Linked DNA regions of Lonchura striata. The protein of the gene in region 2 purifies or fractionates together with the protein of the main gene of each other region. This does not show direct contact. Links are inferred from orthologs where the notes say so. Each region holds a gene or a part of one and is shown on either strand. Other genes may lie near its edges.

Region 1 (8,170 bases), on a different chromosome or scaffold from region 2:
GGCCTCCCGAGCGTTCTGCACCGGCTTGTTGGGGTCCCACTTCTCCCAGTCTGGGCACAGACCTGGAGGGCCAGAAGGGTCAGGGGCGCACCCCTGTCCTGACCCCCGTCCTCCACCTCCCCCTTCTGCGCCTGCTGCCCCCAACATCTCCATCGGTGCCCCCCGAGCCAGCCTGCACCTCGTACCCTCACTCGGGGCGCAGTTCTCCCCCCATCTGTCCCCCCACGCCCCCGCCCCGCCGCGCTCCTCACCCGGGGCGCAGTTGTCCACCAGCGCTCCCAGCGCTTTCCCGTCGCGCCAGTCACGGTTGAAGTTGGTGATGGGCAGCTGCGGCACCTTGTGCTGGATCCAGCCCAGCAGCCGCTGCTTGGGGGTCTGGTGGCGGCCTTCGTCGTCCTCCTCTTCCTCCCACATAGGCATGGAGATGGAATAGTGCAGGATGAGTGTCCAGATCAGCCCCAGGATCAGCTTCAGGTTCCCGTCCACGATTGCTTTGCTGTCTGTGGGGGAGAAACGGGGAGGCTGAACCCCGAGATCCCTCGGGACTCCCCCCGGGGTACCCCGACATCCTGGGACCCGCTGGAGGGATCCTCGCACCTGCACAGCTGTGGCCCCGGGATCAGCTTCAGGGTCGTGTCCCGGCTGTCTCTGGGAATGGGGATAATGGGGGGACTCGGCTGGGGCACCCCCAAACCCCACAGCACCACCACAGGGACCCCTACACCCCGACATCCCACGGCACAACGGGCGGACCCCAGCACCCGTCTCGGGGCACCCCGACACCCCAGGCGGTGCCATGGGACGCTGCACCCCAACACCTGCCTGGGGACACCCCGGGGCACAGAAGCGAGGGATGACCCACGACACTGCGCCCTGTCCATGCCGAGCACTTCACCCTGCGGGGACCCAGCACCCCCGGGAAGTGCCTGGGGGGGCACAACCCTGGCAGCAGCCGGGGTCCCCAAGGGAGCGCCCTGGAGTGCCACACCCCTGACCTTCCCAAGGGATTCCTGGAGTGCCAGAAGGGGGACACTGAGGCAGGGGACGGCTGTGGGGGGAGGGGGGTCCGAGGCATCCCGGTCCCTCCCCCACCGCCCTGCGGAGCTGACCCTCCCCCGCTCCTTCCCCCGCCACTTCCCCCCACGAGCGATCGCGTTTCAGGGAGGAAATGGGGGAGATGGAGGGACAAACCCCTCCCCGCCGGGTGCTCCGGGGGGGCAGCACCTGGGAGCTCCCCAAAACTTGGGGTCACATCTGGGGGCGTCCCGAGAGGGGGCAAAGACGCGCGTGGGAGGGGGCGGCGACACCGCGGGAGGGGGTCTCGCACCCCCCGGGTCCGGGCGTGCCAGGGGGGCCGCGCACGGACGTGTGCGCGGGGGGGGTCACCCTGCAGCTGTCGGGTGGGGGTGGGCGCTGAGGCCCCGCGAGGGGTGGGTGCGTGTGCGGGCCGGGCCCCCCCGCGCGTGAGCTCAGCGCCGCGGCCCCGAGCCAAGCGTGAGCTCAGCCCCCCTGCGCGGCCCTGCACGGGCCGGGCCCCCCCGCTCCGCACGCCCTGCGAGGGTCGGCCCGCAGACCGCGCCGCCCCCGCACACTCACCCCTTGCACACTCGCCCGCAGCCCCGCCAGCCTTGCACGCTCACCCCATTCCCACTGCTGCACCGCTCTCGCACGCTCATCCCGCTCCTGCTCCTGCCACCCCACCGCTTGCACATGCATCCCCATTCTCATCTGTCCGTCGGCCTCACTCTTGCACACATCCTTCATTCCCATTCATCCATCACCCTACCCTTGCACACTCACCCACGGCCCCATCCTCATTTGTCCATCATGCTCCTTGCACAGTCATTCTCCACTCACACTCCTCCACTCCCCACCCTTGCACTCTCACCCTATTCACACCCATCCCTCCCCTCCCTTTACACACTCATCCACATCCTCACTTGTCCACCCCTACCCTCGTATACTCTCCCTCAATTTCCCATCCCCACATCATGCCCACCCTTACACACTCATTCCTCATTCCCATTTGTCCATTGGCCCTGCCCTTGCCCGCTCACCGTTCCCATTCCCCTTCTACCCTCCAGCACCGTTCCCATTCCTCTTCCACCCTCCAGCACCATTCCCATTCCCCTTCCACCCTCCAGCACCGTTCCCATTCCCCTTCCACCCTCCAGCACCGTTCCCATTCCCCTTCCACCCTCACCCGCCCTGTGCCCACCCACCCACGGACACCGCTTCCCTTGCACACCCACCGATGGACACGAGCTTGATGTGCTCCCGCTCCAAGAACTCGAGGGCCACCGAGACATTCTCCAGCTTCATCTGGCGGAAGTTGGGGCGCGGGTGGTGCTTGCGCCCCATCTTCTTCTGGCTGAGCACCTCGAGCAGCGCGATGAGGCGCAGCCCGTCGCTCAGGTCGCGCTGCAGGTCCACGATGCGCTTCTGCACACACTTGAGGTGCTCATTGCACCAGCGCGTGAACGTGTTCTGCTGGATCTTCTTCCAGGGCGCGTCCTCTGCAAGGTCCTTCTCGGTGGCCGGGAGCTCCTCGGGGTCCTCTCCCGGTGCTGCCTCGTAAGTAGAGTTCATCCTGGAGGGCTCGGTGGGTCCTCGATGGGCAGAGGGGTTCCTGGGTGGTGTGGAGAGTCCTGAGAGGGTTGGGGGGGAGCCCTGGCTCACTTCTGGTGCTGGGCGGGGGTCGTGGGTCAGTCCCAGTGTCCTGAAGGGATCCTGGCACCGTGGGTGTGGGTCCCAAGGCGGTGCCGGTGTCCTGTGGATGCCTGGGGTGGGGTTCTGGGTCCCGGTGGCAAAGCTGGCGCTGGGGGACAATGTCCTGGGTTGGGGACGGTGTCCTGGGTCAGAGCTGGTGTCCCGGGCGGGGCCCTGGGTGGGTGCTGGTGCCCGCTATGGGGTCCCGGTGCTGGGAGATTCAGTCCTGGGTCGGTCCCGGTTCCTGGGTGGGTGTCTGTGTCCTGGATGGGGTCCCAGTTCCCGGCGATGGGGGACGGTGTCCTCGGTCAGTCCCGGCGCCCAGGGAGGGTCCCGGTCCCCGGGGTCAGGACGGGTGCCTGAGGACGGGGTCCCGTCTCAGTGCCGGTGTCCCGAGAGGGGTTCGCTGCTCGGTACTGGTGTCCTGGCTAGGGTTTCCTGTTCCCGGGGTCGGGGGCTGGTGTCCTGGGTCCGTCCCGGTGCAAGTTCCCGGTGGTGGGGTTGGTTCCCGGTGCGTTCCCGGAGCGGAGCGGCGGGTCCCGGAGGGCTGGGGGGTCCGGTAGGTTCCCGGGTCGGTTCCCGATTAGTTCCCGGAGCGGCGTTCGCGGCGGGCTCCCGTGTGTTCGCGAGGCGTCCCAGGAGCGCTCCTGGGCCAGGGGCGACGGCGGCAAGTGGCGGGGCCGGGGGCGGCGGCGGCTTTAAGCGCTGCCCCGGCCCGGCCCGCCCCGTCCCGGGGAGGGACCGAGCAGGAGGGACGGAAAGACCGCCCGAGCGGCCGGGGGTGGGGGGTCCGGCCGTCGCTATTTACAGCCCCGGCCTCACTCCCGGAGCCCCAGACACCGGCACCCCCAAGACCGCCGGACTTCGGCGCTCCCCAAACCTCGGACCCCCGGACTCCGGCACCCCCAAAACCCCGGAATTCGGCACCTCCCAAAACGCCGGATCCCAGCACACCCCGGAGCCCCCCGACTTCAGGACTCCCGGGCCAAAGCTCCCCCAAACCGCGGCACTCCCAAAACCCCCAAACAGTGGCAGTTCCAAAAACGCACAGACATCAGCACCCCAAAATCTCTGACATCCCTAAAACCGCTGTAACCTCAAACGCCGGCCCACCAAAACACCGACACTCACCAACACAAGCACCCCAAAACGCCAGCACCCACCAACTCCCAAACGCTGGCACCCCAACACCCCAAAACTCCCCGAATTCCCTGAAGTCCAGTGTCATAAACTCCTAAACTCTGCCACCTCAGAACCCCCTGCCCCCAGACACTGGCACCCCCAAACTTTGCACGCTGAACCACGGCACGCCTAAACTTTGGCACCCTCAAACCTCAGCACCCCCAAACCTCGGCCCCCAGGCACCCCAGCCTCCCTACACTGAAACCCTGGTACCTCAAATCCCAGCACCCAGACACCCCTGAAACTCTGGCCCCCCAAAATCCAGAATCCACCCATAATAATCCCAAATACCTGCAACCTCGACACCCCAAAACCTCAGCACCCTATAGCCCAGGCAGCCCAACACCCTGTTATCCTGATACACCTGTACCTTAATTCCCAAACATCCCAGGCACCCCACAGCACAACGCATCCCAAAACCCCCCCAAAGACGCCCCCAAAACTTACTCGAACCCCCTCACTCATCCCTTTCCCCTTGGGAACCCCTGAAAAACACATAAAAACTCTCCCCCAGCCCCGAGGGGCACAACTGAGATCCCACAAACCCTCCCAGGATCCCCTCTGGGGAAGCCCCCCCCCCAGGACCACTCTTGCCATGGAACCCCCACCCAGTCCCCTCGGTTGCACCCCACTCCCTCCGGTGACTCCAGCCGTGGGTCCCCCTGGCCATGCCTCAGTTTCCCCATGACAATGGCACAAGCCTGGGGAGGGGGTTCGGTCATATTTGGGGTGCACCCTAAACCCCTCTGCCCCCCAAATCTCTCTTGTGCCCCTCCCCCCTTTCCAGACACCCGCGGCCTCCTCAGCTCCCTTGGGAGGGGCAGGGGGACACTCGGGTGACCCACATCTGGGTCCTTTGGGGGGGCGATTTGGGGAGTATCGTGTTCCCCCTGTTCCGGTGCCTGCCTGGAAGCTTCCAAGGGAAGGGGGGGCGGTGCGGGTGCACCCCGGGGTGACAACGGGTGACAAGGGGTGACGTGGGGGGGTGACGTGGGGGGGGTGACGCGGTGGCGCCTGCGCCAACACCTAAAAATAACCTGCCGAGTCAGAGCCACGCACCGGCACCCAAAATACCCGGGGGGGCACGCGGGGGGGCGCCCCCAACACATCATCACCCAAAATACCTGGGGCAGGGGCCGGGGGGGCACCAACAGGGGTGGGGGCAAAACGCGACAGGGTCCCTCACCAGGACCCCCAAGCCCTTGGCAGGTGTGGGAAGGGGAGCGAGTGGGTTGGGGGGGTCAGGATGTTTGGGGAGGTCGAGGGTGGTCCAGGGGGCTCTGAGCAGTCAGGGCACTGCGGGGGGGTCAGTGCACTCCAGGATGGGGTTTCAGGATGCTGCTGGGGCAGGTCAGGGGGACCCAGGGGGATCCCAGTGTCCCCCAGGGTCTCGGCTCTGCCACAGCCAGGGCAGAGGAAGATGACGGTGGAGGCCACGAGGGGACAAAGGACCTGACCCCGCCAGTGTCTCCTGGGGAGGGGACACAGGGCAGAAACACTGCTGCCCGTGGTGACATCCTGAGTCCAGCGTCCCCCCAGCCTGTCCCCAGCTGTTTCCTTGGGACACTGGGGCTGGAAGCACTCAGGGTCCTCAGGGTGGGGTGACATGGGGAGGGGGTCATCGGCAGCCTGGGGGCACAGAGAGGGGAAGAGGGGGGCACTGGGGACGTGGCCATGGGGACATGGGGCCAGGGCTGAGGGACATAAGGGACACGAGAACGAGGGGTACATGGACAGTGGGACACAGGTAACGTGGCCATGGGGACAGCAGGGACATGTGTGGGGCCACATCCAGGAGGGCACAAGAGCAGCGACTTGGAGGCCCTAGGAGTCCCACGGGGGCCATGGGGCTGGAGACAGAGCACTGGGGGGCCTGGGGGGCCATGGGTCCCGTGTGGAGGTGGTGCTGCCGGTACCAGTGGGTGCTGGGGGCTTGGTGGTGGGCACTGGTGGTGTGGGGGGTCCTGGCAGGGCAGTACCACCACTGCAGGCCCCGGAGCTCCATGCCCAGCATCCCCCAAGTCCCTTCCCTGCTCCATCCACAATCCCAGAATCACAGAACCACAGAGCCCCTGAGGCTGGAAAAGCCCTCCCGGCCATGGAGTCCAAGCTGTGCCTGACTTCTCCTTGTCCCGGAACCCTGGGTGCCACCTCCAGGCCTCCCTTGGACACCTGTGGGGATGGGCACCCCAAACCCCCCCGGGCAGCCCCTGCCGAGGCTGACAGCTCCGTCGTGCCCCAGCTCTGCCGTCCCCCACAGCCCCTGCGCTGTAGCCCTCTCCGCAGCCCACAGTGCCCACAGTGGCCGCGGCTCCACAGGGGACACAGCGGGGGGACCCTTTGTGGGGTGTCTGTCCCCTGGGTCACCACCCTGGGGCACCACCCTGGGACACCACCCTGGAGCACCCATTTGGGGGTGCCCCTCCATGGGACGCCTAGTAGAGCACCAGCAGAGCTGACCCTACCCGGTACGGCCCAGTACAGCCCAGTACGGCCCGGTAGAGCCTGGTACAGTATGACCAAACCCAGTACAACCCAACAGGGCACAGTGCAATGCCATGGCACAATACAGTGCAGTACAGCCCAATGTAGTCCAGTACAGCCCAGTACAAACCAGTACAGTACAGGCCAGTATGATCCAGTACAGCCCAGTAAAACATGGGCTGGGGGTTCAGCCCAGCCAATCCCCCTGTTCCTTCCCTGGCCCCATCTCTGACCCAGAGCTGGACAGAAGCTCAGGGTGCCCCAGGACACCCCAGGGTGGGCACCCCCCACACACTCAGGGCACAGCGTTCCCTGAGGGTGTCCCCCTCCCCACAAATGAGATCCCCCTTCCCTGGGGGTCCCGGGGTGCCACAGTGAGGTCCCTGCACCAGCCTTTATAGGCGCCCCCAGCCCGGGGGGGCACTGTAATCCCTCCCTAAGCAGCTTCTGTTCATCCTTCCTGTTCCCCGGGGGTGCCACAGGCTGAGGGAGGGAAAGAGGGGGGTGGGAGGGCAGGAAACGCTGGGAGTCTTCTGGGACTCAAGTCCCAGCAGCACACCCCCAAAGTGACCCCCCATCCATGACCCCCTGTCACTGCACCCCCAAAATGAACACCCCCTCTCAGACACCCCACCTCAAGCAGTGCCCCCCCAGTCTTCCCCCCACCCCTTGATACCCCCAGACTCCTACACCTCACTTGGAGTCTCCCCAGCACAGGGATGCCCCAAGCCCAGAACTGGGGACAATTGCTTGAGAGGGGAGACACCTGGGGGGCACCCTGGGGTGCTGGGGTGGGGGGCAGCGGGTGAGTTCATGAGGAAACTCCAAGTTCTTCCCAAAGCATCCAGGGCTGCGGCACCCTGGGGGAGTGGGATCAAGGCTGGAGCACCTGGGGACCCCTGGGGATCCTAGGGGCACCTGGCCATTCTGGGGGTGACCAGGACACAGCTTGGGGACCCCCTGGGGCACACTGAGGACCCTGGTGGGATCAGAACTAAGGCTGGGGACCAAGCCTTGGGCTTGGGAACACCTGGGGACACCTGAACACCTCAGGAGGAGCAGGATCAAGCTTGGAGCCCCCTGGGGACCCTCCCCATACCCAGATGTTGGGGGGAGCCCTTCTGCCCCCCCCCCCCCCCCCCCAATCCTCCAGAGCACCAGCAATCGGCTCACCCGGCTCAGGGGCCCGATTAGGGGCTGAGCCCGGTTTAGCCCACCCTAATCCCCAAGTTTGGCCGGGCTGAGCCCTGATCCCCCCTAAGCAGCTTTGGGGGCGCAGGGTATATCAGGGGGGTGGGCGCCCCCCCCGCCAGCGCCACCATGGACGAGGAAGAGTTCTACCTGTTCAAGAACCAGTCGTCGGTGGGGCCCTGGGATGGGCCCCAGTACCACATCGCGCCCGTGTGGGCCTTCTACCTGCAGACCATCTTCATGGGCTTGGTGTTCGTGGCGGGCACCCCCCTGAACGCCATCGTCCTCATCGTCACCATCAAGTACAAGAAGCTGCGGCAGCCGCTCAACTACATCCTGGTGAACATCTCCGTTGCCGGCCTCATGTGCTGCGTCTTCTGCATCTTCACCGTCTTCATCGCCAGCTCCCAGGGATACTTTGTCTTCGGGAAGCACATGTGTGCCTTTGAGGGCTTTGCAGGGGCCACCGGAGGTACGAGGGGACCATGGGGCGCTCAGGCTGCTGTGGCCAGAGACGATGGAGCGACCACTGGGGGCTACTGGGGCCAGAGGTGGCCACAGTGATCTCCTGGGGCCGTGGGAGTTGGGGTGACCACCAAGGTCT
Region 2 (7,670 bases):
AGTTCTGTTGCCTTGTGACATCTTTATAGATTCACTGACCATACCCCAAAAATGTTACCTGTAAATGGTAATTTAATGAAAGAAATTATATGATGATATGATATGATATGATATGATATGATATGATATGATGATGTGGTGTGATATGATATGATTGATATGATGATATGATTGATATGATATGATATGATACGATATATATGATAATCTGGAGGCAACAGAGGATGAAATTGATGTTTTGTTCAGTATGTTCCTTCTAGTTGAAGTGTATAGGCATTTCTTCCCTGTATTGGAAGATTCTTGACATATTTTTCTATTTTCTAATAATTTACAAATTTTTTTCCTTGGTATACCACTTCAGATTATTAATATAAATTCAACATTTCATCTCCCAGCTACATACAAAAAGTTATTAATTCATGAAATACTTCAGTCAGAAATATATTTATCTGAAGGGCTGTTATGTCAGCACAAACAAAAACAAAACAAAAAAAAAATGGAAAGGCTAATTCAGTGTAATTCTCTACATAATTTTAACCAACTTCTTTCTTCACTAGCAAATGTTCCTGGTGATGTAATTAATTTGTTTCTTCTATGTCAATCATGTATCTACTACACATTAAAGTTAAAATTAGTTCTACTCTCATGCATTTCATTTTACGTCAGTGAATACCACTGTTGTTCCACAGCTGTTTTTGTGATTGTGGTTTGCCTTCTAAACAATCTAAACTATTCCTGGAATGTGCAGGGTAACCAGTGATAACAGTAATGTCAAGAGAAACTTTAACCACGGGAGATGTTTATACTTTATTACTGCAGAGATTGTTTTGAGATCTATTCTGTAAGAGCAAAGAACTTTACATTACCCTGTAATGAGTGAATCAGAAGCTCAGGAATATTACTCTGTGGAAAACAGTGAAGGGTATGTCCGTAGTGTGTTCTCCTCACTTTCCAAACACCTCTAGTGCTCGTGTGCCCATGACCTATGGGGAAAAGTGGACAGAAGTTGGAAATACAGGAGTTTTCTGGAAGTAACCGATACATGGGTTGTGTTTTAGCTGGGTCATATTAAAGGAAAATTTAGTTTTTTGTTGGAATTAACAGCAGTGCTACATGTAGCTGAAAGAAATGTTAAAGATCAATATTCTGGTAGTAAAAGGTACCAAAGTCAGAACCATGTGCCCCTGGCTTTTATAGAGACCTATTGCATTAAAGGCATTCAGATATTTTTTTGAAATTTCTATTTCACCAGAATTGTACTCATAGCACTTGATCATTCCCGGTCCTGCACCTGATGGTGGTGGATGTCCTTCCATGCAGGTGTTCAAGGCCAGGTTTTGAACAACCTGGTCTAGCAGAATGTGACCAGGAGCTAGATGATCTTTGAGATTCCTTCCAATCCAGGCCATTCTGTGATTACTCCCTGGTGTAGACCATGGTTTAGGATGTTATTGTTAAAACCTGTCAGATATCTAAGAAAATTACCTTTAGGAAGTGCTGATTCCTGGTAACTCCTAGTATGAGAGTTGAAAGCTAACCATGAGATGCTTGTGTGGCAGAGGCTCAATGGGATTTTTGTCACTGGTCATCCAGAGAGACTGGATTCCCCTCTGGCCAAGAATGTGTGACTAATTCTGGCTGCTCAGTTATGAAAAATGTTGATTGCATTACATTGTCAGTACTTAATAACAACACAGGTAAAACACACCAAGGTGAGCTTCTCTTTCCATTTACTTCACACAGGACATAATAAAGATATCAAAAGTAGTATACTATTAACATCAAGGCAGTGGTTACAATGTTTGTTTTTCTCTCTGTTACCTAGCAACAGATCTTGTTTGTATTTTAAGGTTATTAGTAAGCTTATTATGTGCATTTTAACTGAAAATTTAGGAAAGACATTATGTCTGCTTATAAGCAAAAATTGAAAAAAAGAAAATCTATCTGCTACCATTACAAAAACCTGCTGGCATATTTAGCATGTATTTCAGGATATTCTTTGGATTTCTATTCAGATAAACAAGTTTTCTTACCCAGAATCTTCTACATTAGAGCATCAGAATACTAGTACAAGGGTAATTTGGGCATAAAAAAAACTATTTCTCTCCTCAAATGAAGCACCACAAACTTCAAGTCATACCTCACTGTAACCAACAATCAGAATTAAGCAGCTGCCCACCCACTAATGTACCACTGTTCCAAATAACCTATGGTTTTGGAGAGGCAGAACAGTCATTAGCAGGAGTTTCTATATCCTAGAAGAAAGAAATTTGCAGTACTGAGCATTCAAAATGCAGCACTTGCTCCTGCTAGAAGTGCTCTTAGTCTGCTGCATCCATTTACTGTTCTGTAAGAGAAAGAGCTGCCTCTCCCTCCCCTCTCTCTGTTACCAGACTATTGAAGACTTTAAACCACCACCCTGTACTCAGCTCTGACATTTACTAGCAGACAGAACATTCACTAAACCAAACTACAGATAGCTTTTCTGAAAAAAAAAAAAAATGTAGCAAAAAACTGGCAGCATTGATATACATTTTACATCTTGATAAATGACCAAACACACAATGAAGAGCAACTGGCATGTTTTAAACCCACTTGGAAGGGGCAATTTCCAGTAGTTTTACATTAAATCTCCTATCAGTATATATATCAGCATATACATGTGAACTTGGAATATAGACATTGCCAAGTTTTGACTAAGAAATAAAACTAGACAAGAATCTTTCCTTTGCTCCAAGCCTCCATTTCAAGAAGGAAAGATTTCAATTTACTGCTATTTGGTCAATATATATTCCCCTCTAAGTAATGATTAGTCCAGAAATAAAGACTCACTGACTGGGCTCACAAACTATATTTAAAACAAAGTTCTGAACATTCTGAAATACAAGAGTCACCCTGTAATTTCAGAGCAGTTGTAATATCTTATCCCACTCTAACAGGCTGCCAGAAATGCTCCTGGATAAGGCCCATCACCATTTGTTCTAAAGATATCAACTTTTTGGCTGGCTCTGTCAGGTAACTGAGGACATTTGAACTTTGATTCATTATCAGATATACTTCTTACATTTCAGCTTTGAAGGCAAAAATTTTGGATATGTATTTAATCTGTAAAATTTTACAAAAAAGTTCTCAATATTGAATGCAATAAACTGCTGTGTCTTATCCATAACAAAAAAGATAAATATGAAAACATTTCCCATAAATATCCACATAACTTTGTATGAAGGATTTGAGCATTTTTTCTCCAATATGCAATTTAGCTGAGTGAGTCATAATATGTTTTCCATGTAAAGAGAATGAAATTCCATATTGTGTTACTGGTTGCCCTGGAATTAACTGCAGAGACCGAGGATAGGAAGTATATCCCTAAACATTGATACAAAATACAACCAAAGCTCCAAAGAAAATGATTTTGGATATTGCAGTATATTGCAACTGATCTTCTTATTCTGCCTTTTTAATTAATGGAATTAAATGGAACGAGGAAAAGAAACTTTTCAGAATATCCAAATAAAGGTTTTTTTTTTGTTGTTGTTTATTTGTTTTTAGAGTTGTACAATCTGTTTGGATTACTAAAACTTTCCTGAAGATACATGAGGCTGTGAGATGGAATCCAGAACTGTTTTTAAGTTATCACTTTGAACTTACATATGTCAATACCTTTTTTCCCATTTTGTTAGGAATGACTGTCTGTATTAGCATGTGATCATAGTGCAAACTGGTGTTTCTTGGTCAGCATGCCAGTCAGAACGCAGTCAAAATGGAGAGCGTACAGATGTCATCATTGTCCCTGGACAAAGGCTTTATGACTTTTTTTATACCGCAGCTAAGGCTAGAAGACATGGCTTAATTTTAAAGTGCTACTACCGGCGTTAATAAAACAATTATCAATGTTCTTGATGAGACCCATGTTCCAGAGCGTGTGTCTCCTGTTAACATGTGCCGGTTTATACCACGCACCTTTGCATGCATGTACTGCATTTCCCAGGGTGAGACTGCAGGTGGGCAAACAGCAGCCAGCGCCCAGAGCTGTCCCAGACGGAATGGATGCAATGACTTCTGTCCGTGCCCGCCCCGCAGAGCAGGAGCCGTGACACCGAGCACACGTAGGCCGGGGCAGGGCGGCGCTCGCTGACGTGCGGGCAGCCCCGCCTCCCTCCGCGCTCCCGCAGCTTCCAGAAGGGCCGGAGCCGCGGGGGGGCCGCGCCGGTGGCGCAGTCGGAATTGCTGCGGCCGCGGGGCCCGGCCGGGGCGGGGCGGGCGGTGATGCCCTTGTTTATTTTTACTCGGGCGGTTCATCCTCCTCGGCAGCCCCAGCGCGGCCCCCGCCGCCGCTCCCCGCCCCGGCTGCGACGGCGGCGCCGCCTATAAAGCGCCGCCCGCGGGGAGCCGAGGATGCAGCTCTACAGCTCCGTGATCACCCACTACCCGGCGGCCGCCACCGCAGCAGCCGCCGCGGCCTCGCCGAGCTCCGCCGCCGTCTTCAAGGTCTCCTTGTCGCCGGGACCCTCCGCCGCGGAGGCACCGAGCGCCGCCGACGCCGCGGGCCCGAACGCGGTCGCTGAGAGCTCCGGCAAGGAGAGCTTCGTTCCCGCGGGGGGCAGCAGCAGCGCCGCCGCCATGCCCGCCTTCTCGTCCTGCCTGGAGGTGATGCCGAGCGGCCCCGCGGCGGGGCCGGCCGGGCGGCCGGCGGGCGGCCCGCAGTTCAGCTCCTGCGCGCAGGTCACCGTCAGCCGCCGGCGGCCGCTGGAGCGGATCGTGCCCATCCGCATCGTGCAGCGCGCCGAGGCCGCCGCGGAGCTGGTGCCGGGCTCGCCGCGCAGCCGCGCCTGGCTGGAGGGCATCCTGGAGAGCGTGCGGCAGGCCGGGGGCGACGGCGAGGCGGCGGAGGAGCCCAGCAACCGCAGCCTGCGGCTCAGCGAGCACTGCCAGGCGCTGCAGGCGGCGGCCGCCGGCGCCCAGCCCGGGCTGGTTCCCGGCTGCGGCCCCGCGGAGCGGAGCGGCGGCCCCGCGCACGCCGAGCAGGAGGAGGCGGCGGGGCCCGACGTGCGGCGGGCGCCCGGCGGCAGAGCGGAGCGCAGCGAGAAGCTGGCGCTGTACCTGGCCGAGGTGGAGAAGCAGGACAAGTACCTGCGGCAGAAGGGCCGGTTCCGCTTCCACATCATCCCCGACGGGAACTGCCTGTACCGCGCCGTCTGCAAGGCGGTGTACGGGGACCAGCGGCTGCACGGCGAGCTCCGCGAGCAGACCGTGCACTACATCGCCGACCACCTGGACCACTTCAACCCCATCATCGAGGGCGACGTGGGAGAGTTCCTCATCGCCGCCGCGCAGGACGGGGCCTGGGCCGGCTACCCGGAGCTGCTGGCCATGGGGCAGATGCTGAACGTGAACATCCACCTGACCACGGGCGGCCGGCCCGAGAGCCCCACCGTTTCCACCATGGTTCACTACCTGGGGCCCGAGGACCCGACGCGGCCCAGTATCTGGCTGAGCTGGCTTAGCAATGGGCACTACGATGCTGTGCTGGACCGCGTGTGCCCCAACCCAGAGTACGAGGCGTGGTGCAGACAGACTCAGGTACAGCGCAGGCGGGACGAGGAGCTGGCCAAGTCCATGGCGGTGTCCTTGTCCAAGATGTACATTGAGCAGAATGCCTGCTCATGAGACCGCCTGGGCCGGGAGCTTCGCTGCAGGGACTGACAGAGAGGTGTGCTCGCTGTGATGGTGATGCCTTAATCCTTAATGAAGCAGCAGCACCCCAGACGGACAAAGACTGTAGGTTGCGGGGGGATAAATACAGACGTAGTTGTAATATTCTGTTGTAAAAACTTAGCCTCGGGTTATTTGCAAGCAGATTTCTCCGTGTATGTTTGTGTCTCCCCTCCCCACTGTCTGTTTTCTATGAGAATGTATTTTTTGCACACTATTTTTAAACTGTTACCTCCATCTTCTACATCTTGCATTAGTATCTGGCTTTCAGCTGTACAGCCAAAAACGTTTGTAAACAGTTTTTGTAAATAAGGCTTATGATGTAACAGCTATTTTTTGCTGTGTTTTTTACCCATAAACTTTATATTTTTACCAAATGAAGTTGATGTCAAACTGACCCCCCTAGTTGATGAAAATGTGTTTTTAAAAGTGCGGCAAAATGAGAACAGACTGCTTTTAGGAACAATTGCTTTCTCTGCCTGGAGCACAGAATAGGTCCTTTGAGCCAGTTGGAATGCAGCTACACGTGAACAGTGCAGGGAGCAATTGACTCTTCTGTTTTTAATTACTGTTTTGAGTAGACTGGCCTCTTGTTGCCTGGTTGGCTCACTCTCTGCTCCACTTACATTATTTATCTATAATAACAGAACATTAACTTGCAATAGAATGTTGTGACTAGATAATAGTCTCCTGCTTTGGCAGTAATTGCCGTGGCTGCACCTCAGTGTTTGTGTTCTTGTTTCTGGGGCTATGGTGTCTTTCGTATAAGCCCTGCTTCTTTTTTGGCACTGGTGTTTCACCAACAAGTCATTATCTGATCACAACATTTTATTCACGTGACTTTATTTTCTAATCAAGAAATCAGGAATGGTATTCTACATTATGGTTTAAAAGAAAAAAAATACTTAAATTGAGGTTTGTATGGTTTGCTGGGTCAAACATTTAAATGTCTCCAATCTGGATTCTGTCTCTTCTACTTTCTGATTAACTTGTTAGATATATTTATTAAGTAATGCAGTTTGTACTTTTTTATTTTGTAATATATTGTGATTTCGGAATTTATACTGTATTTGTATAATAGGAATATTCACAGCTAAAATGGAATGAATAAAGAATATAATTTTACTTGTGCTCTTCTTTTCTGCCCTGTGCATTCCTGGTGTGGGGAAGAATTGCGGGTGGGTTCACAGGATCTTTTATAGCTTCTCTGCCTTAGTCTCTCCTACTGAGAGGTGGGAAGAAGGGGTGTGGTACTTTACAGATGTAAACCACTGATAATTCTGGTGTCTGTTAATATGTGAAAGAAATGCAGGCATTTAAAGACAATTAAATATCTAATTATTTTCTTACTGCAAGAGATCTTAGTATATGTGTTTGCTAGTGAGAAACCATTTCCTATATTAATATGCCTTAGAAGGGGAATTCTCAGGCATAGTTTGTGAGCTCGTGGTGCCAGGGTTGGTGGTGAGCCAGCTCTGCTGGCCTGTGCACACGTGGGCTTGGACATTGGTCTTTGGGAACCTCCATTCTGCAGTTAGCCCCAAACTTGCTCGAGGTTTGTCCTGTCAGTAGTGATACCTTGGCACCCTCTTGTTACTCAAACACAGTAATGTTACAGGGAGGTACAGCTTTCTACTCCCCTTGCAAGATGGAAATGCCTTCCAGGTTGTTTAAACATGTTTAGAAAAGTGCACGTGTGTTTACAAATCAGTCCCTGATCTCAAAATGGTAAAACGTCTTCATCCTTAAACAACAGAAGGGTACTAAAGTTATGATTAAAAAGTAACTAAATAGCTGAAATGCATCAGTCTTAGTTGAGCACCTGTGATAGATCTGCGGGACTGATGTATATAATTATTACTGGTTTATGTGGTACAAAGAGTAGATTTAAATATTATGTTATTTTCAAAGCATTGGTAAATAGAATATTTTTATTTAATAGAGTATGTAAACAGTGG
Region 3 (8,231 bases), on a different chromosome or scaffold from region 2:
TTTTGGGTTTTTTTGGGCTCTCAGCCGCGCCCCGTCCCCATTCCCGTTTTTGGGGTCCCTTCCCGGGGGTCCCCAAATCCCCCCGGGGTCAGCCCCGCTCCCCGCCCCCCTCGCGCGGTTTTTGGGGGGGAGGGGCCCCGCCCGGCCCCGCCCCCTCCCGGGGGGGGTTGGGGGCGGATTTTGGGGGGAGGGGGAGGGGCGGGGCCGGTGGGGGAAGGGCCGCGGCCCCTCCCCCCCCGCTCCAGCATTTTTTGGCCTTATAAGGGCTCGGCCACAGCCGAGGCCCCGCCCCCAGCCCCACCCCCCCGGGACCCCTCCCCAAAAAACCGCCGGGACCCCCCGAGACCCCCGGGACCCCCTCGGGACCCCCCCGAGCCCCGCGAGCGGCGCCCCCTCCCCAAATTCCTGCGCTGGGAGGAGGGGCCGGACCCCCCCATCCCCCACCCCCCCTTAATTTTGGGGTCGCCCCAAATTGGGGGAGGGGGGAGCCTAAATTGGGGGGGGGGTCCAAAATTGGGGAGGGGGGACCCTAAATTGGGGAGGGGGTCCCAAACAGGGCCCTGTAAAAGGGGGAGCCCCCCTAAGAGGGGAGGGGTCTCCAGGACCTTCCCCCTTTAATTTTGGGGTCCCAAATGTGGGGGGGGGGGGGTCGCAAATTGGGGGGGGGTCTAATTTAGGGGCGTGTCCCAAATTTGGGGGGGGGTCTCAAACGGAGCCCCCCCCCCAGGGTGGGATTTGGGGGGGGAGGAGCCTCCAAAGCCCCGCCCTAAATGTGGGGGGGGGTCCCCAAAATATTCCCGGGGGGGGTCTCATAAAGGGGAGGGGTCTCAGGACCCTCCCCATCACTCTGGGGTTATTTGGGGAGGGGTCTCTGCGCCCCCTGAGACCCCCCCCCAAATTATCGAAGGGGGTTTGCCCTCTCCAGGACCCCCCCCCCCAATTTCGGGGTGTTTTTTGGGGAGGGGTCTCCCCAATTGGGACCAGTTGGATGCTCCCCCTCTTGGAGACCCCTCCCCATTTTTGGGAGCGGGACCCCCCCCCAATTTCTGGGCTCGTCCACGACCCCTCCCCAATTTCCGGGGCCTTTTGGGGTCGGGGTCCCGCCCCCTCCTCACCATTAAAACCAGTCCGAGCTTCCCTTCCGCAGAGACCCCTCCCCATTTTGGGCTCTGGGGGTCTCCCAGTTGCCCCCCCCCCCATTTCTGGGGGTCCTCCAGGAGCCCCCTCCCCAAATTCCCGGCCCCATTTTGGGGAGAATTCGCCGCTTTTTCCCCACCCGGCCCCGCCCCGCTCCTCCTCTCGCAGGGACCCCTCCCCTTCCTCCGCCGGCCGGGGGGTCCCCCAGCGGACCCCTCCCCAAATTTCAGAGCCCCCGCGGCTCCTCCAGGAGCCCCCTCCCCAAATTCCCGAGCCCGTTTTGGGGAGAATTCTCCACTTTTTCAGCAACACAAACCGCTCCCATCTCCCTTTTTCCCCCCAAAATCCGATTTTCTCCACAATTCCCGTTTCCCCCCATCCCGCCCCGAACCCCCTCGGAGGTTTTTTGGGGGGTGGTCGCACGACCCCTCCCCCAATTCCTGACATCCTTCCGGGGGTATTTTTGCCCCCTCCCCACCACCACAAATCGCTCAGATTTCCTTTTTTTTCCCCAAAAAAATTTCAACGCTCCGTAACTGCCACTCCCCCCATGGCCCCACCCCGAGCTCCACGCTCTTTTTGGGGGGTGGTCGCACGCCCCCTCCCCAATTTCCGAGACCCTTTTAGGGCGAATCCACCACCATTTTATCAAAAAAACCCTAAAAATCTAATTTCTGCCTTTTTTTCTCCCCAAAAAAATCCAACTCCCGCTTCCTCCCCACGGCCTGAACTTTTTTGGGGGGTGGTCGCACGCCCCCTCCCCAATTTCTGACCCTCTTCTGAGACGTTTCCAGCCTTTCCTCACCATTTCAACCTCCTTTTTTCATCCAAAACTCCAAAATTCCGACTCCTCACTAACTCCCACACCCCCCCACCCCCAAAAATTTCCGGGAGGGGGGGGGGGTGGTCGCACGCCCCCTCCTCAATTTCTGACCCTTTTCCACCTTTTCCTCACCAAATAATCCACTCCAATCTCATTTTCCCCCCAAAAATCCCAACTCGTCCCTAACTCCCACACCCCCCCAAAACTTTCAAAACTTTCCGGGGGGGGTTGGGGGTTGCTCTCACGCCCCCTCCCCAATTTCTGACCTTTTCTCGACCCATTTCCACCCTTTCCTCACCAAATTAGCCACTGGAATCTCATTTCCCCCCCCAAAATTCCAGCTCCTCACTAAATCCCACACCCCCTCCCCAACCCCCAAAACTTTCCGGGGGGGGTTGGGGGTTGCTCTCACGCCCCCTCCCCAATTTCTGACCCATTTCCACCCTTTCCTCACCAAACTAACCACTGGAATCTCACCCCCCCTCCCAAAATTCCAGCTCTTCACTAACTCCCACACCCCCTCCCCAACCCCCAAAACTTTCCGGGGGTTGCTCTCACGCCCCCTCCCCAATTTCTGACCCTTTCCCGACCCATTTCCAGCCTTTCCTCACCAAATTAACCACTGGAATCTCACCCCCCCCCCAAAATTCCAGCTCTTCACTAACTCCCACACCCCCTCCCCAACCCCCAAAACTTTCCGGGGGGGGAGGGGGGGGGGTTGGGGGTTGCTCTCACGCCCCCTCCCCAATTTCTGACCCATTTCCACCCTTTCCTCACCAAACTAACCACTGGAATCTCATCCCCACCCCCAAATTCCCAACTCCTCCGCAGCCCCCACCCCCTCCCCAACCCCCAAAACTTTCCGGGGGCAGTTGGGGGTTGTTCTCACGCCCCCTCCCCAATTTCTGACCCTTTCCCGACCCATTTCCACCCTTTCCTCACCAAACTAACCACTGGAATCTCATCCCCCCCCCCAAAACCCCAACTCCTCCGCAGCCCCGCTCGCCCCCGGGGCCGCCCCGCTCGCCGCCCGGCCAGCCCCGCTCGCCGCCCCGGAGGTTCTCACCGATGGACACCAGCTTGATGTTCTCCCTCTCCAGGAACTCCAGGGCCACCGAGACGTTCTCCAGCTGCATCTGGCGGAAGGTGGGGCGCGCGTTGTACTTGCGGCCCATCTGCTTCTGGCTGAGCACCTCGAGCAGCGCGATGAGGCGCAGCCCGTCGCCCAGGTCGGTCTGCAGGTTGCCCACGCGCTTCTGGACGCATTTGAGGTGCTCGTTGCACCAGCGGGTGAAGGTGTTCTGCTGGATGCGCTTCCAGGGCGCGTCCTCCGCCAGGTCCTTCTCGGTGGCCGGCATCTCGGGCTCCGCTCCCGGCTCCGCGCGGCCCCGCCCGCCCGGCGCGCTCATCGCGGGGCCGGCCCGGGGCGGCTGCGGGGAGGGACGGAGGGAGGGAGGGAGGGGAGGGGCGGTGAGAAACCGGAGCTGGAGAGCGGGGTAAGGGGGCAGCGCGGGGACGGGGGGGACCAAAGGGGGTGCGGGTAACGGGGGTGCTGGAAACGGGGATACTCAAAATGGGGGTGCTGGTAACGGGGATACGGATAACGGGGATCCGGATAACGGGGATGCTGGTAACGGGGGTGCTGGTAACGGGGGTGCTGGTAACGGGGGTGCTGGTAACGGGGATACTCAAAATGGGGGTGCTGGTAACGGGAATACGGATAACGGGGATCCGGAGAGCGGGGATACGGATAACGGGGATGCTGATAACGGGGATCCTCAAAATGGGGGTGCTGATAACGGGGGTGCTGGTAACGGGGGTGTTGGTAACGGGGGTGTTGGTAACGGGGGTGCTGGTAACGGGGATCCGGAGAGCGGGGATCCTCAAATGGGGGTGCTGGTAACGGGGATCCGGATAACGGGGATCTGGATAACGGGGATCCGGAGAGCGGGGATCCCCAAATGGGGGTGCTGATAACGGGGGTGCTGGTAACGGGGATCCGGACAACGGGGATACGGATAACGGGGATCCGGAGAGCAGGGATACGGATAATGGGGATGCTGATAACGGGGATCCGGATAATGGGGGTGCTGATAACGGGGATCCGGATAACGGGGGTGCTGGTAACGGGGGTCCGGAGAGCGGGGATCCCCAAATGGGGGTGCTGATAACGGGGATCCTGATAACGGGGATCCGGATAACGGGGATCCGGATAACGGGGATGCCCAAATGGGGGTGCTGGTAACGGGGGTTCTGATAACGGGGATCCGGATAACGGGGATCCCCAAAATGGGGGTGCTGGTAACGGGGGTGCTGGTAACGGGGGTCCGGATAACGGGGATCCTCAAAATGGGGGTGCTGATAACGGGGATCCCCAAAAATGGGGGTGCTGATAACGGGGATCCACATAACGGGGATCCTGATAACGGGAATCCCCAAAATGGGGGTGCTGATAACGGGGATCCCCAAAAATGGGGGTGCTGACAACGGGGATCCAGATAACGGGAATCCTGATAACAGGGATCCCCAAATGGGGGATGCGAATAACGGGAATCCTGATAACGGGGACCCTGATAACGGGGATCCCCAAAATGGGGAATGCGAATAACGGGAATCCTGATCGGGGATCGCCAAAATGGGGGATGCTACTAGTGGTAATCCTGATAACGGGGATCCTGATAACGGGGATCCCCAAAATGGGGGAGGCTGATAACGGGAATCTTGATAACGGGGATCCGGATAACGGGGATCCCCAAAATGGAGGATGTTACTAATGGGAATCCGGATAACGGGGATCCCCAAAATGGGGGATGCTAATAACGAGAATCCTGATAATGGGAGATCCCCAAAATGGGGGATCCCGATAAGGGGGGATCCCAAAAGGAGGGATCCTAATAAAGGGGGATGCTAATAATGAGGGGTGCTAATAATGGGGGATCGCAATAATGGGGCAGTGCGTAATGGGGGACCCCAAAACGGGAGACCCTAATAACGGGTGACCCCAATAATGAGGGACCCCATAATGAGGGGCCCTAATAATGGGGGAGAGCCCAAATTAGGGTGCCCAGAATGGGGGGTCCTTATAATGGGGGATTGCGATAATGGGGGAGCCCAAACCGGGCGATCCCAAAAAGGGGGTTCCTAATAATGGGGGGATCCTAATAATGGGGGGATCCTAATAATGGGGGATGTGGCAGCCGGGCAGATCCGGAATGGGGGATCCTACAATGGGGAACCCCAATAACGAGGGATCCTGATAATGGGGGAGCCCAAAACGGGGGATCCCAATAATGGGGGACCCTCAAAATGAGGGATCCCATTACCGAGGGAACCCCACAAGGAGGGGATCCCATAGTGAGGGACCCCCAAAATGAAGGGATCCCACAATGGGGAAATCCCTGGAGTAAGGGACCCCACAATCAGGGGACCCCAATAATGGGGTACCCCCATAATGGGGGATCCCTGTAATGACGGACCCCAATAATGGGGGATCCCCATAATGGGGGAATCCCAGAGTGGGGGACCCCATGAGCATCTTCACCTGGGCACCCCCAAAAGGAGGGACCCCAATAATGAGGTACCCCCAATAAATGGGGGATGCCCACAAGAAGAAACCCTAATAATGGGGGACCCCAATAATGATGGGACCCCCACAATGAGAGACCCTCCCCAAACTCCCCCAACATTTAGGGGTGCCCCAATTTGGGGTGACCCCCGGCTCTGCCCCATTGGCCCCAGATTGGGGGGGTCAGGGGAGGGTCCCCACCCTGTTGCCCCCTTCCCATTCCCGGGGTCCCCCGGACCCCAAAGGTGGCCCCAAGTGGGGACCCCCACCCCAAAAAGGGGGGCCCAGCCACTCTGGGCTCCTCAGACCCCCCCAAAAAAGGGGGGGGGGGGTCCCATTCAGAGGGGTACCCCAAGCCCATTAGGGGGTCCCCAGCCCCCAAAGCACCCCCAGGGGTCTCTCAAGGGGGTCCCCCAAAATCGGGGTCCCCCGTTATGGCGTTCCCCCAGCCCCATTTGGGGGTCCCCAGCTCCATTTTAGGGGTTCCCTCAAAACGCGCCCCCAGGGGGCTCTCAAGGGGGTCTCGGACCCCAAAATCGGGGTCACACCTTGGGGGGTCCCCCAGCCCCAATCGGGGGAGCCCCAAACTCGGGGTCCCCCTCGCGCCCCCCGCCCACCCAAAGCCCCCCCAAACCCCGCGATCCTGGCGGGGGTCCCGGGGCTACTCGGGGCTCTGGGCTCGGTTCCCGGGGGTCCCGGGGGTCCCGGGGGTCAGGGGTCGGGACCGGGGGGGTCGGCGCCACCCAGGGGTGCCGGTCCCGCTGCTCCGGCGGCCCCGGTGGTCCCCGGGGCTTGAGGGGGGCTCGGGGGTCCCGGGGGCTCCTCACCTGCTGCTCGGTCTCGGTGGTCCTCGGGGCTCGGGACCCGGCGGTCCCGGGGCGGATCCGAGCGGTGCCGGTGTCGGTCCCGGGGAAGGGATCGGAGGTCCCGGGAAGGGATCGGTGGTCCCGGGGAAGGGTTCGGAGGTCCCGGGAAGGGATTGGCGGTCCCGGGAAGGGCTCGGTGGTCCCGGGGATGGTTCGGCGGTCCCGGGGATGGTTCGGTGGTCCTGGGAAGGGATCGGTGGTCCCGGGGATGGTTCGGCGGTCCCGGGGAGGGCTCGGCGGTCCCGGGAAGGGCTCGGTGGTCCCGGGAAGGGCTCGGTGGTCCCGGGGAGGGCTCGGTGGTCCCGGGAAGGGCTCGGTGGTCCCGGGAAGGGCTCGGTGGTCCCGGGGATGGCTCGGCGGTCCCGGGGAGGGTTCGGCGGTCCCGGGGATGGTTCGGTGGTCCCGGGGAGGGCTCGGTGGTCCCGGGGATGGTTCGGCGGTCCCGGGAAGGGCTCGGTGGTCCCGGGAAGGGCTCGGTGGTCCCGGGGAAGGGCTCGGTGGTCCCGGGGATGGTTCGGTGGTCCCGGGGAAGGGCTCGGCGGTCCCGGGAAGGGCTCGGTGGTCCCGGGGATGGCTCGGTGGTCCCGGGGATGGTTCGGCGGTCCCGGGGAGGGCTCGGTGGCCCCGCGCGGTGGCGGTGCCGGTACCGGGGGCTCGCGCGGCGCGCGCGGAGCCTTAATTGGTAACGAGAGGAGCGAGCCCCGCCCCGGGGGGGGCCGGGGGGGCCGGGGAGGGGCTGGGGGGGGCCCGGGGACCCCTAAAAGGGGGGAGGGGGGATTTGGGGAGCCCATCAAGGGGGAGGGGCGGGTTTGGGGGGGCTCTTGGGGTGGGGAGGGGTCGGGGGGTCCCCCATGGGGGGCTCTGGGGACTGCGGGGGGGGGTTGGGGAGGGGCTGGGGGGCACCCGGGGGGTTTGGGGAGCCCATAAAAGGGGAGGGGCGGATTTGGGGGGGATCCGGGGGGCTCTTGGGGTGGGGAGGGGATTTGGGGGGGATTTGGGGAGGGGGGAATTTATGGGGACCCCAAAAGGGGGGGCTATGGGGGATTTTTGGGGTGAGGATGAGGAGGGGTCCGGGGACCCCCCTGGGGTGGGATTTGGGCGGGGCGAGGATGGGGGGAGGGGTTCTGGGGACCCATAGGGTGGGGGGGACCCATAGGGTGGGGGGGACCCATAGGGTGGGGGGGGTTATGGGGGCACTTTGGGGTCGGGGGGTCAGGGGGACCCCAAAGTGGGGGGTGGGCTCCCTGGGGGTCCATGAGGGGCTCCATAGGGCAGGGGGGACCATGGGGAAGGGGCTGTGGGGCACGAGGGACCCCCAAGATCCCACAGGGTGTCACAGGGGATCCCACAGGGTGTCACAGGGGATCCATAGGGTGTCACAGGGGATCCATAGGGTGTCACGGGGGATCCACAGGGTGTCACGGGGGATCCCATAGGGTGTCACGGGGGATCCACAGGGTGTCACGGGGGATCCCATAGGGTGTCACAGGGGATCCATAGGGTGTCACTGGGGATCCCATAGGGTGTCACAGGGGATCCATAGGGTGTCACAGGGGATCCATAGGGTGTCACGGGGGATCCCATAGGGTGTCACAGGGGATCCATAGGGTGTCACAGGGGATCCATAGGGTGTCACTGGGGATCCCATAGGGTGTCACGGGGGATCCCACAGGGTGTCACAGGGGATCCATAGGGTGTCACTGGGGATCCATAGGGTGTCACAGGGGATCCCATAGGGTGTCACAGGGGATCCATAGGGTGTCACAGGGGATCCATAGGGTGTCACGGGGGATCCCATAGGGTGTCACAGGGGATCCATAGGGTGTCATGGGGGATCCAC

What was found.
Region 1: the proteins of OTUD1 (region 2) and FLNC purify together in Homo sapiens (affinity purification with mass spectrometry; 3 studies listed by BioGRID and IntAct, with this or other methods). This does not show direct contact. The link is inferred for Lonchura striata from reciprocal best matches to the Homo sapiens genes OTUD1 and FLNC.
Region 3: the proteins of OTUD1 (region 2) and FLNA purify together in Homo sapiens (affinity purification with mass spectrometry; 3 studies listed by BioGRID and IntAct, with this or other methods). This does not show direct contact. The link is inferred for Lonchura striata from reciprocal best matches to the Homo sapiens genes OTUD1 and FLNA.

Annotation. Positions count from the first base shown.
Region 1 is NC_134607.1:73,108,453-73,116,622, reverse strand, and holds the start of FLNC (filamin-C), read right to left. Parts: upstream 3,370-8,170; 5' UTR 2,590-3,369; coding exon 2,253-2,589; intron 501-2,252; coding exon 252-500; intron 63-251; coding exon 1-62. Other genes in the region: OPN1SW (short-wave-sensitive opsin 1), read left to right, coding at 7,696-8,038.
Region 2 is NC_134603.1:139,207,133-139,214,802, forward strand, and holds the start of OTUD1 (OTU domain-containing protein 1), read left to right. Parts: upstream 1-4,384; 5' UTR 4,385-4,395; coding exon 4,396-5,667; 3' UTR 5,668-7,670. UniProt on the Homo sapiens protein: Deubiquitinating enzyme that specifically hydrolyzes 'Lys-63'-linked polyubiquitin to monoubiquitin.
Region 3 is NC_134638.1:1,279,725-1,287,955, forward strand, and holds the start of FLNA (filamin-A), read right to left. Parts: upstream 3,370-8,231; coding exon 3,027-3,369; intron 1-3,026. UniProt on the Homo sapiens protein: Promotes orthogonal branching of actin filaments and links actin filaments to membrane glycoproteins. Anchors various transmembrane proteins to the actin cytoskeleton and serves as a scaffold for a wide range of cytoplasmic signaling proteins.